Saccharomyces cerevisiae S288C: one gene and its partners. The protein of the gene in region 1 interacts with the protein of each later gene in a pairwise test. Each region holds a gene or a part of one and is shown in the gene's direction. Other genes may lie near its edges.

What was found.
Region 2: the proteins of ENT1 (region 1) and END3 come close enough for resonance energy transfer, tested with the Saccharomyces cerevisiae proteins (one study listed by BioGRID).
Region 3: the proteins of ENT1 (region 1) and BEM3 interact in a two-hybrid assay, tested with the Saccharomyces cerevisiae proteins (one study listed by BioGRID).

Annotation. Positions count from the first base shown.
Region 1 is NC_001136.10:166,020-169,616, forward strand, and holds ENT1 (epsin), read left to right. Parts: upstream 1-1,694; coding exon 1,695-3,059; downstream 3,060-3,597. Other genes in the region: DNA ligase (ATP) CDC9, read right to left, coding at 1-1,235; MHF2 (Mhf2p), read right to left, coding at 3,347-3,589. UniProt on the Saccharomyces cerevisiae protein: Binds to membranes enriched in phosphatidylinositol 3,5-bisphosphate (PtdIns(3,5)P2) and phosphatidylinositol 4,5-bisphosphate (PtdIns(4,5)P2). Required for endocytosis and localization of actin. Negatively regulated via phosphorylation.
Region 2 is NC_001146.8:469,526-472,931, reverse strand, and holds END3 (End3p), read left to right. Parts: upstream 1-1,829; coding exon 1,830-2,879; downstream 2,880-3,406. Other genes in the region: Ca(2+)-binding ATP:ADP antiporter SAL1, read right to left, coding at 71-1,555; MKT1 (Mkt1p), read right to left, coding at 3,309-3,406. UniProt on the Saccharomyces cerevisiae protein: Component of the PAN1 actin cytoskeleton-regulatory complex required for the internalization of endosomes during actin-coupled endocytosis. The complex links the site of endocytosis to the cell membrane-associated actin cytoskeleton.
Region 3 is NC_001148.4:331,579-337,307, reverse strand, and holds BEM3 (GTPase-activating protein BEM3), read left to right. Parts: upstream 1-1,821; coding exon 1,822-5,208; downstream 5,209-5,729. Other genes in the region: YPL113C (glyoxylate reductase), read left to right, coding at 165-1,355; HOS3 (histone deacetylase), read right to left, coding at 5,609-5,729. UniProt on the Saccharomyces cerevisiae protein: GTPase-activating protein (GAP) for CDC42 and less efficiently for RHO1. Negative regulator of the pheromone-response pathway through the STE20 protein kinase.

The DNA of each region.
Region 1 (3,597 bases):
TCGCCTTGAAATCTATCCAATACTTCATTAATTGCCTTGGTAGGCTTGGCTAACATGGGTTTCAATGGAATTCCTGGTCTTAGAGTACAATATTTATCTAAATTCATAATACCGTGTTCCAGGCATGAGTTTATAACAATTTCATAGTTGGGTACTTGACAAAATGCGTCTCTTATCTTTTGTTGAGCACTTTCTAACACATCCATGGGGACATCTTTGTCTGGAGAGTCCTCCCTATTTTCATCATGGAGCAAAAGAGCCTTCGATAGGGATATTAAGACAGTCTTTTCAGCAAGACCGATTCTCAATTTTGACTCTAGGGATCTAATCAAAAACTTAGCCTCTATACCTTTGCAAGCAGTAAGCATTCTCTTGATCAGCTTCATCTTTTTTAATTGTGAATCTTTGCCCTGAGTCTTAGCAATAGCTCTAAGATTTTTGAAGACCTCACCCACGGTCAAGGGTTTGGGCTTAAACATAGTGGGTTGGACATTTCTCGCACCCATTGCTATTTCACCCAAATCCCCAATATCCTTGTATTTAAGTTTAATTTGGCTCATGGATTTCCCGCAAGTTTCGCTTATGGTTTTCATAAGAAGATTTTCTCCAAGGCCTAATTCCAAGCCTGCTTCGTAGTCAGGGCCCAATCTATTGATGAAAAGGTATGTTGTAGGTATTAAGTTCTTAGACGATTGCTTCATTATCTTAATAAAGAAATCAGAACAGATTCTTATAATCTCTAAACGGGAAGATATGGCCTCAATCTTGTTAAAAACCTCACAAACTTCAGAATAGGGGATATTAGACGAATAGTGATCATTATTATTTGAGCTCAAGGCGTCTTCAACTTCACCTACCAACCTCTGAGATTGTTGCGGTGAATCAGCAACACCGGAAGAGGGAGCGGATGATGGTATAGAAGAAAAATTGCTACCCATGGAGCTTGGAGCTGCTACAGTATGTGTAACAGCCGTCTGTTTCAATTTCTTGGTCGCGTATTCCTCTTCCCCACTAACATTATCCATTCTATCTTCCAGCATATGTTTGGATGATTTTTTGGGAGAAGGAGTACCTTCTGTTGGCTTATTTTTCATGGAAGTGAAGAATCTAGCCAAAGTGGCTTGTTTAGGCTTCTTACCGGCAGAGGAAGGTAATGAGGATGACATCAATAATGGCAATCTTGATTTCAAGGGACGTGCAGATGAAAGAAGGCAACCGGTCAGTAATCTGCGCATGTAATTGATGAACAATGACGTTAAAAGCTGCTCTAAACCTCCAAAATCATTACTTTTATTTTTGAACAAAGTACAGCGAGATGCAAACGCATGGCTTATTGCAGCTAAATTTCACTTTCACGCGTTTTCGCGTTAAGGTGAAAAATTCCATCAGCCATCTCAAGTGGAGGAACACATCGAAGCGAGCAAAAAGATGACAGAGTTAAACAGCAATAGAACCAGCGGCTGCAGTACGAATTCCTATTGCAAGTCTTACGGAAGGTTGGTGGGGCCTTATGTTGTTCAAAGTACTTGATTTTGGAAGTATGGTTGTCTGAAATTGTGGCTACGTATAGAGAATCATCCGGGTAATGATGAAAGTTTCTTTCAATGACAAATAGGAGTTTTAAGAAGTAGAAGAAAGAGCCGTTCGTATGAGTGCCAGGATCAGAAGGAAAGGGAGCAAGAGGCAGAACAATCATGTCGAAACAATTTGTTAGATCTGCGAAGAATTTGGTGAAAGGGTACTCTTCTACCCAGGTCCTGGTAAGAAATGCAACGTCAAACGACAATCATCAAGTGTCCAAGGACTCGTTAATTGAGCTGGCTGAAAAATCATATGATAGCGCAGATTTCTTCGAAATCATGGATATGCTGGACAAAAGACTTAACGACAAGGGCAAATACTGGAGGCATATCGCAAAGGCATTGACAGTAATAGATTACTTGATCAGGTTTGGTAGTGAGAATTGTGTTCTTTGGTGTAGAGAAAATTTATACATCATCAAGACATTGAAGGAGTTCAGGCACGAGGACGATGAGGGCATAGATCAAGGTCAAATCGTTAGGGTCAAAGCAAAAGAATTGACTGCATTACTATCTGATGACGAAAGACTGAACGAGGAAAGGAACATGAATATCAAGGGAAGAAACAGGAAAGGAAGAAGAAGAAGGGGAACTGGGCGCAGTGATGAAAATGACGATGATTTGCAAAGAGCCATTAGTGCTAGCAGGTTGACGGCGGAAGAAGACGAAAGAAGAAGAAAACAGGACGAGGATTATGAAACAGCTTTGCAGTTGAGCAAAGAAGAAGAGGAGCTAAAAAGATTGCAAGATTTACAAAGAATGCAACAACAGCAAGGCCAACAACAATTGCAACAACCTATGTATTATGATATTTTTGGTAACCCAATCACTCCTGAGGAATACGCACAATTTCAATTGCAACAACAGCAACAACAGCAACAACAACAGTTGCAACAACAACCAATGTACTACGATGTATTCGGGAATCCTATAACACCCGAAGAACTAGCACAGTTTCAACAACAACAACAACTACAGGAACAACAGTACTTAGCTTCTATGCAACAGCAGCAACAGGCAATGTCCAACAATCCATTTGCCAAATCAGAACAGAGCTCAAGTTCACCAAAACGGAACCAACTAGTAGCAGCTTCTTCTCCACAGCAACTGCAACAACAAAAACAACAAGAGCCATTGATTCAAAACAGGACAGGCAATCAATCAATGACAGACAAGTATAGTAAACTAAACGAGCTACTAGCCACAGGAACAGGTATTGATACATTCGGAAATGTAGGGGAGGCTCGTATTCCTGCCCAACATACGAAGACAGGAACATTCATCAATTCTCAAGGAACAGGATATAGGCAAGTATCGGATGATCCAAACCACAATCCGTTTTTGAACAGTCAGTATACAGGTTTACCAAGCACTAGCGTCGTACCAACACAAACAGGCTATGGCTTTGGTAACCAGTCTCAACAGCAGTCTCAAAATAATGGCTCAAATAACCGGGGATATACTCTAATTGATTTATGAAGTGATTCTGTCATTCCAGTCCGCATTTCTAATCAGATGAGCATTTTCTCGCATCGCATAATATATATGGACTAAGTAATTTAATCATTTCACAGCGCGTTTTGATGCAAGCGTTTAGTATAAAATGAACTGTATATTTGTATATGTGAGCGCACGATCGCTCCAAAAACTACTTTAGTAAACTAACGTAGTTCAGGACGACTGAAAGAAAATATAGTGCTTTAAATTTATCAGACAACCAGGAATGTCTTATGTCTTTACATGGATGTAATGTAAGTTGAATACTTTTACATATCCATCAGAAGAAGCCCTACGATACGCTCTAAATCTTGATGCGATAACTCTAAGGGACTTTTATCGCCACGTTCTCCGTTAATGTCCTTGTGAGATTGCAAGGACCGCAGCACCGCCTCATCAATGAATATATCCAAATATTTCTGTATCATTGGTACTACTTCATCGGCAATTTTCATATCATTACCACCTTCATTTTGGCTGAGGATTTTTATTAACGCTTCTTTAGATAACATCACCACAA
Region 2 (3,406 bases), on another chromosome or scaffold:
TACTAGACCTTTAAATAGACCTTGATAACCTTCCCTTTCTAGCGTCTTTAACAAAACATCTTTAAAGCCGTTATACACATAAGGATGTGCATATGTTCCTTGGGCTTGTAGTCTTGTTCTTAAAAGATTGATTGGATAAACAACAGAAGCTCCTACAGTTCCACTGAATGCACCCATTGGAAGTACAACCAGGTTGCTTAGAGTGACCTGATCTTGTGGTAGGTTCAGGGTCTTTGCCTGTTTGGCAATATACCATTTTTTTAAGGCAGAAAAAGTCCCCAAATCTAATGCAGCATAGGGAAATATGCCCACTATACCGACTGTGACACCTCTGTAAAATAATCTGACCCCCCCCCTCTCGAAACATATCTTTTGCAGTCTGAAAGAGCAAATTATTCCCCTTCAACTTTGTGTCCAAAGGAGCGCACTGCACCCTGAATTTCAAAGTATCTATAGGATAAACGGAAAACTGAGCTGCCATACCAGCTAAACCACCAGCAATGTAAGTAGAGAACTTTGAAAGATCTTTTGTGTCGCGGCAGCCTTCTAATTTGGTCATTATTTTCTTGGTGACCTCGAAAGAACCAAACTTTATCGAACTTTCTGGAAAAACTTTGATGACGTTTAAACCGTTCCCAACATAAAAAGCCTTTATCCCGCCTTGCCTATATAAGCTTTTGACAGCCTTTGCTAATGGAGATGATATCTTGTTTATGTCAGCATTGGGGTTTTTAGCAAGGAGATCTGTTTTTGAATTTAACAAGATCGAGGATAGATCCGTTCTTGCGATGAGAAACACTTTCAGTCTATCAAATGGCGCGGTACAAGTCCTTGAAATAACACCTGAAATACCACCAGCAATAAAAAACCCGAACCCGCGAATGAAATCGTTTATGAGAGTAACATCTCCCTCTGAGGACAGATCGACATCTTCGTTGAATAGGTAAAAATAGGAATAAGCAGTATGAAGTCTCGAACCCTGCTTTCTCGGTACCAGCAGCAAAAAGTCTCTCCATTGATCATATGTAACGTATAAATCTGAGTCGGTGGTTTTCTTTGACCGATCATTATCAGTATTCTTTTTGTGGCTAGCCTGGCCTCGTAGCGCAATGTTGGCTTTTCTCTTTGGAAACGCCCATTCAAAAAACCTCGAGAATTTGTTCATCTTTTCATTTGAAAGTTCATGATTAAGTTCATTATTACATATGCTCTGGTTGTCGAGGTCTGACAAATACCTATTTATTTCGTTAATGCCAATCTTACCGTCATGATCTAAATCTATCCTCTGGAAGCCGTTCCAAATTTGAGATTCGGCATTGGAAGCATACTTCTTGAAATCGCTTAAATCAACTACAGAGTCCTTGTTAACATCCATTGCAGTAAACAGCATTTTGATTGCCTCATCATTTCCCTTGAGCGGATGGTCGTTCTTCTCAAAAGCACTTATCAGATTATCTAGAGTAACTTGACCATTTCCCTTAACATCAAGTTCCTTGAACAAACACGCATACCGTATATCTCGCTGCTTGTCCGTCTCGCAATTTTTCAGCAGCATTTAGACCGTCATTCGATTGAATTAAACGTTATTTGCCCCTTCAAATATTCAATATTTCCCATCGCTAATAAAAAAGCTGCATTTTTATTTATTACTTTTTAAATATCATATTTGACGATCGTGTAGGACCCCTATGATTTAACATATCAAGAATGAATGAAAAGAACGTCAGAAACACAAGGTTAATTGCCTGTTATAATCAGACGATTGTAATATAACCATAGAGTTAGTGGGTATTGGAAAGGCCGGTAAAGATAACAGGGATCTCTGAAAAATGCCCAAGTTGGAACAATTTGAAATAAAAAAATACTGGCAAATCTTCTCGGGTTTGAAACCAATAGAGAATAAGGTAAACCATGACCAGGTTTTACCAATTCTTTATAATTCCAAATTAGATTCATCGGTTCTAAACAAGATTTGGTTTTTAGCTGATATTGATGACGACGACAATTTAGACTTTGAGGAATTTGTAATTTGCATGAGATTAATATTTGATATGGTTAATAAAAACATTAGCTCTGTTCCAGATGAATTGCCTGATTGGTTGATTCCAGGGAGTAAGGTGAATCTAATCAAAGAAAGAAAGAAGCGCAAGCAAATAGAAAACGCAGACTTGCCTCCAAAGAAGGAAATCAAAGTAGATTGGTACATGTCTCCAGATGATTTGAATCAATATGAAAAAATTTATAATAGCTGTGCAAAACTAACCGATGGTACTATTACATTCAACGAACTGTCAACAAAACTTTCCACAAAATTTTTTAACATCAGTAAGACAGATTTAAATAAGGTTTGGAGTTTAATTAACCCACAAAATTTGCCATCAATTGATAGAGATCCTACTTTTTATTTTATTCACTGTTTAAGACAAAGAAATGATTTGGGTGCTGAAATTCCAGCAAGTTTACCAAATTCTCTGGCGGAGGTGTGCAATAAAAAACAACTGAGCTATGATTTACGGTCCTCTCAACCTCCTACAAAGAGAAAAGAAGAAGCTAACGAAGTGGACAATCTGCGTGACAATGGGCAGAACTCGAGTTCCGATAGCAGTGGCAGTAACGTGCTTTCAAATGAAGACAGTATAAAGCAAAAATATGCTTCTCTGACAGATGATCAAGTTGCGAACATGAGAGAACAATTAGAAGGCCTTTTGAACTACAAAAAGAGTGAAAAAACTCAAGGAGGCTCAAAACTTTCTAAGCGGATTAACATCAGGTCGATAACTGATGACTTGGATAACATTGAACAGCAGGTTGAAGTATTGGAGAATTACTTGAACAATAAGAGACACGAATTGCAAGCATTACAAGCAGAAATCAATTGACACCGATAATTAATTTTATGTACATGAATGTGTAATATTTACTGTTTGTTATTTCACTTGTAAACTTTTTTGATTTGAACTTCAATCTATCCAGTAACGGTGTGGTGTATACTTATTTTTTCCTTTTCTTCTCTGCCGGAATTTCATAAAATTTTTACTGTTCAGCGTTCTTTACATATTTATATAATAGAATATGTCATATAAAGAAACAGTGACTTAGTTTCTGTTTTACTTTTTTTCTCCTATTTCTACCGTGATTTTGATTAGTTTTTTCTTTAATTGTTGCTATTCACTGTGCTTGTGTTAAATCTTGATGATGGTACTTGAACCCTCTGAATAATGATAATATACCTCTTTACAGTAACTATCTTTCTTTATTGGGTGCTTTTTAAATAGTTCCACTATTTCCATCATACTCATTCTCACGCTTCAGCTAGATAGAGCTGTTGTAGTAAACTCAACTGCTTTAGTGAATAATTTAAACACGTTTTCATCGATTAATTTCGCAGCATTTAGCTCCTGCATGA
Region 3 (5,729 bases), on another chromosome or scaffold:
TTCCGTTTTTATGTCATTGGGGTGGCGGTAGTCATTCCGTTTTACGGTATGTTTATTCTGACACTTTGACGCAGATCTAAAAGGTGGAGTGTGGAGTACAAATAGCTCTCTCTCAAATACAGAAAAATACTTGAGTGTACAAAAGTAGCAACCTTTAAATAACAATGATTACTTCAATTGACATAGCAGATGTAACTTATTCTGCCAAACCAAGAATTTTGGTGCCTTATAAAACCCAATGGGAAGTCGCCAGTCATCTTCCTGAATATCGCAAACTGGCAGAAAGGGTAGAATTCTATAAATATGAGATGTCCACAAAGGATGATTTTGTTAAATTTTTGGAAACTCATAGAATAAACGGCTTTTGGCTCACTGAGGAGTTTTTCACTGTGTTAGGAAACCCTTCGAGTTATATTGAATTCTTCCCCGCATCTTTAAAAGTAATCCTTGTACCATGGGTCGGCTGTGACTTTATTGACGGTAAGTTATTAAGATCGAAAGGTATCACTTTATGCAACATTGGACCACATGCTGCTGACCATGTCACAGAATTGGCTATTTTCCTAGCAATTAGCTGCTTTAGAATGACTTCATTTTGGGAATATTGTTTTAAATACGTGGAAAATGGTAATGTTGAACAGTGTAAGAAATATATCTCTAGTGACTCGTATGAAATTGTTACAGATAGTTACCACGGTCAGGAAATGAAATTTCCCTCTCGAACAGACAAATGCAAGCCTAACAAGGATAGGAAAGTGGTACATTTAGCAGAAAAGTACACGGTTGGCGGGAAAAAAATGGAATCTCCAATGAATAAAAAAGTTCTAATATTGGGGTTTGGCTCCATCGGACAAAATATAGGGTCTAACTTGCACAAAGTGTTCAACATGAGCATTGAATACTACAAAAGGACCGGTCCCGTCCAAAAGAGTCTACTTGATTACAACGCTAAGTACCATTCTGATCTAGATGATCCAAATACTTGGAAGAATGCGGATTTGATCATTTTGGCCTTGCCCAGTACGGCCTCTACAAACAATATTATCAATCGTAAAAGTTTGGCCTGGTGTAAAGATGGTGTCAGGATAGTTAACGTTGGGAGAGGCACATGCATAGATGAAGATGTGCTACTAGACGCTCTTGAATCTGGAAAAGTGGCAAGCTGTGGTCTCGATGTGTTTAAAAATGAGGAAACACGCGTTAAGCAAGAGTTACTTCGCAGATGGGATGTTACAGCTTTGCCACATATCGGCAGCACAGTTGCCGACATGGTCATAAAGCAGACACTCATCACACTCGAGAATGTGCAGGACATATTTGTCGAGGGAGGTGATGGTAAGTATGTGCTCAACTGAACCATTCATTATGTTACAAAGATAGCATTTCAATTAGGATTACATACGTATATGCATTGCTCTTTATACCACAACTCTAAGAATGTCGAAAGTTATATGGCGGCGGTGATGTTGGAAAAAAAACGCGGCCGTTTTATAAAGAACAATAATCGTCTGACTAGGTAAAGTACCAGATAAGAACCGTTTTTATTGCGCGTATTGGTATGTTTTTTAAACGGAATTTTTCAAGATTGTTAAATACATCAACGATATATCCATTTTAATCACCGTTTACCTTTGTGTGTTAGCTTTGTATCTGGAAGTTTTTTCTCTTTTCTTCTTTGTCCTTGCCTTCTACCATTTTGCCTTTTGTTCGAGTTCGTGATTACATCAGGCATATACAACATCACGTTTGTTGAAACACTGGCTGCTAGGAGTATCTGTGTGTATATTCTAGAATAAACTCACACTCAACTAACAGCACGCAATGACAGATAATTTGACCACAACTCATGGTGGTAGTACCACCCTTGAATTGTTGGCGCAGTACAATGATCATAGATCCAAAAAGGACAAATCTATAGAACATATAGAAAAAGGAACATGTTCAGGAAAAGAAAGAAATCCGTCCTATGATGAAATTTTTACGGAAAACATTAAGCTAAAGCTACAAGTCCAAGAATATGAAACTGAAATTGAGAGTTTGGAAAAGGTTATTGATATGTTACAAAAAAACAGAGAAGCTTCCTTAGAAGTTGTGCTTGAGCAAGTTCAAAATGACTCAAGAGATTCATACGTTAACGATCAATCATTTGTGTTACCCCCAAGATCTGCTGAAAGGAAAGCGCATATCAAGAGTCTTAATTTGCCAATACCGACATTGTCCCCTCCATTGCAACAAGGTTCAGACGTTGCACTTGAAACAAGTGTAACGCCTACAGTACCTCAAATAGGTGTTACATCAAATACTTCAATAAGTAGGAAGCATTTACAGAACATGATACTAAACGATGAAATAGAAGCAAATAGTAGCTTCTCATCTCCCAAAATTATCAATAGATCTGTCTCAAGCCCTACAAAAATACATTCAGAACAGTTGGCTAGCCCAGCTGCCTCTGTTACCTATACGACGTCTAGGATAACCATAAAATCACCTAATAAAGGTTCGAAATCTCCATTGCAAGAACGTTTGCGTTCCCCTCAAAATCCTAACAGAATGACGGCTGTTATCAACAACCATTTGCATTCTCCATTAAAGGCCAGTACCTCTAATAATTTAGATGAGCTGACTGAAAGTAAAAGTCAACAACTAACTAATGACGCGATACAAAAAAATGACCGCGTTTATTCTTCTATAACATCCTCTGCATACACTACTGGAACTCCTACTTCAGCAGCCAAAAGTCCATCATCCCTTTTGGAAGTCAAGGAGGGTGAAAACAAGGCTTTGGGTTTCTCTCCAGCATCTAAAGAAAAACTTGACGACTTCACCCAATTACTTGACTCCTCATTTGGCGAAGAGGATCTAGTCAATACGGACAGTAAAGATCCTCTGTCCATAAAATCCACGATTAACGAATCTTTACCCCCACCTCCAGCGCCTCCAACTTTTTTCTCACCTACTTCTAGTGGAAATATAAAAAACTCTACTCCTTTATCAAGCCATTTGGCTTCTCCGGTTATCTTGAATAAAAAGGATGATAATTTTGGTGCTCAAAGTGCAAAAAATTTAAAGAAACCTGTGTTAACTTCATCACTCCCCAATCTTTCTACAAAATTGTCAACAACAAGTCAAAATGCTTCTCTTCCTCCAAATCCTCCCGTGGAAAGTTCATCAAAACAAAAACAACTTGGAGAAACGGCATCCATCCATTCAACCAATACCTTGAATACATTTAGCTCAACACCCCAAGGTTCGTTGAAGACACTTAGAAGACCTCATGCAAGTAGCGTGAGCACCGTGAAGTCTGTGGCCCAAAGTCTTAAGTCGGATATTCCATTATTCGTTCAACCGGAGGATTTTGGCACTATCCAGATTGAAGTACTGAGCACATTGTACAGGGATAATGAAGATGATTTATCCATTTTAATTGCAATCATAGACAGGAAATCCGGTAAGGAGATGTTTAAATTTTCAAAATCTATTCATAAAGTTCGCGAATTAGATGTATATATGAAATCACATGTTCCCGATTTACCATTGCCCACGTTACCTGATAGACAATTATTTCAGACTTTATCACCTACAAAAGTGGATACGCGAAAGAACATATTGAATCAGTATTATACAAGCATATTCAGTGTCCCTGAATTTCCCAAAAATGTTGGTTTAAAAATCGCCCAATTTATTAGTACAGATACAGTAATGACACCTCCAATGATGGATGATAATGTGAAAGACGGATCACTTTTGCTGAGAAGACCAAAGACTCTAACAGGTAATAGTACATGGAGAGTTCGGTACGGTATTTTGCGCGATGATGTTTTACAATTGTTTGACAAAAATCAGTTGACTGAAACTATTAAATTGAGACAATCTTCTATAGAACTTATACCCAATCTCCCTGAAGATAGATTTGGAACGAGAAATGGGTTTTTGATCACTGAGCATAAGAAAAGCGGACTGTCAACCTCAACAAAGTATTATATTTGTACTGAAACGTCGAAGGAACGTGAATTATGGCTTTCTGCGTTTAGTGATTACATTGATCCTTCACAAAGTTTATCGTTATCTAGCTCGAGGAATGCAAACGATACTGATTCTGCATCTCACTTGAGCGCAGGAACACACCATTCTAAATTTGGAAACGCAACTATCTCAGCAACCGATACTCCATCATATGTCACTGATTTGACCCAAGAATATAATAATAATAACAATATTAGTAATAGTAGCAATAACATTGCTAATAGCGATGGTATTGACTCAAACCCATCTTCTCACTCTAACTTCCTAGCAAGTTCAAGCGGGAATGCAGAGGAGGAGAAGGATAGTAGGAGAGCCAAAATGAGAAGTTTATTCCCTTTTAAAAAATTAACCGGCCCGGCGAGTGCAATGAACCATATAGGTATTACAATTTCAAATGATTCGGATTCTCCAACATCTCCTGACTCTATCATTAAGTCACCAAGCAAAAAATTAATGGAAGTATCCTCTTCGTCAAATTCTTCTACGGGTCCACATGTGTCCACTGCAATATTTGGCTCGTCACTAGAAACGTGTTTAAGATTGAGTTCGCATAAGTACCAAAACGTTTACGATTTACCGAGTGTAGTTTATCGTTGCTTAGAGTATCTTTACAAAAACCGTGGTATCCAGGAAGAAGGCATATTTAGACTAAGCGGGTCCAGTACAGTTATCAAAACTTTACAAGAAAGGTTTGATAAAGAGTACGATGTAGATTTATGTCGGTACAATGAAAGTATTGAAGCTAAAGATGATGAGGCATCTCCAAGTCTTTACATTGGTGTGAATACTGTAAGTGGGTTACTAAAGTTGTACTTGAGAAAGTTGCCCCATTTATTATTTGGTGACGAACAATTTTTGTCGTTTAAAAGAGTAGTTGATGAAAATCATAATAATCCTGTTCAAATATCATTGGGGTTTAAGGAACTTATTGAATCTGGCCTAGTTCCTCACGCTAACCTATCGTTGATGTATGCTCTTTTTGAACTGCTGGTAAGGATCAATGAGAATAGTAAGTTTAATAAGATGAATCTAAGAAATTTATGCATCGTGTTTTCCCCAACTCTAAATATTCCAATTAGTATGCTTCAACCATTCATCACTGACTTTGCGTGTATATTTCAGGGTGGTGAACCAGTTAAAGAAGAGGAAAGGGAGAAAGTAGATATACATATTCCTCAGGTTTGATGGTCTAAAATTGTAGAAATATAACGTTGCCAGTAAACCTCCATTGATTTAATGATAGAAAGAGGGCGAGATGTATAGAGGCTTCTTTCTTTCAACGATATATTTGTAATAATAAAAAAATGTCAGGCTGATAAAGCTTATAGAGTGACTGTCTTTTTATTCCTCAAATGTTATTTACAATACCATATAATAAAATTAGTATATTGTCAAATAAAATAAGAGAAAAAAACTAACTTCTTGACCAAATGGTCGAAGAGCTGAGATAAAGAAGGAAAAAAATTAAAATTACTAACTATACAAGGAAATATAAAAATAGAAAAATTGTGTTACTAAATACAAAAAAGTAATATATGCGTCACTTCTTTAGTGGGTTCAAGACAACATTATATATGCATTGGTATCACCATCTTCCACCACTTCTTGTTGTATGTTTTCTTGAAACATGAGAAATCATTGATATATCACTATCGTCATAAGTTGGTGTATTTGCGTTTTGAGGCTGTCTTATGCGATGCGGTTTC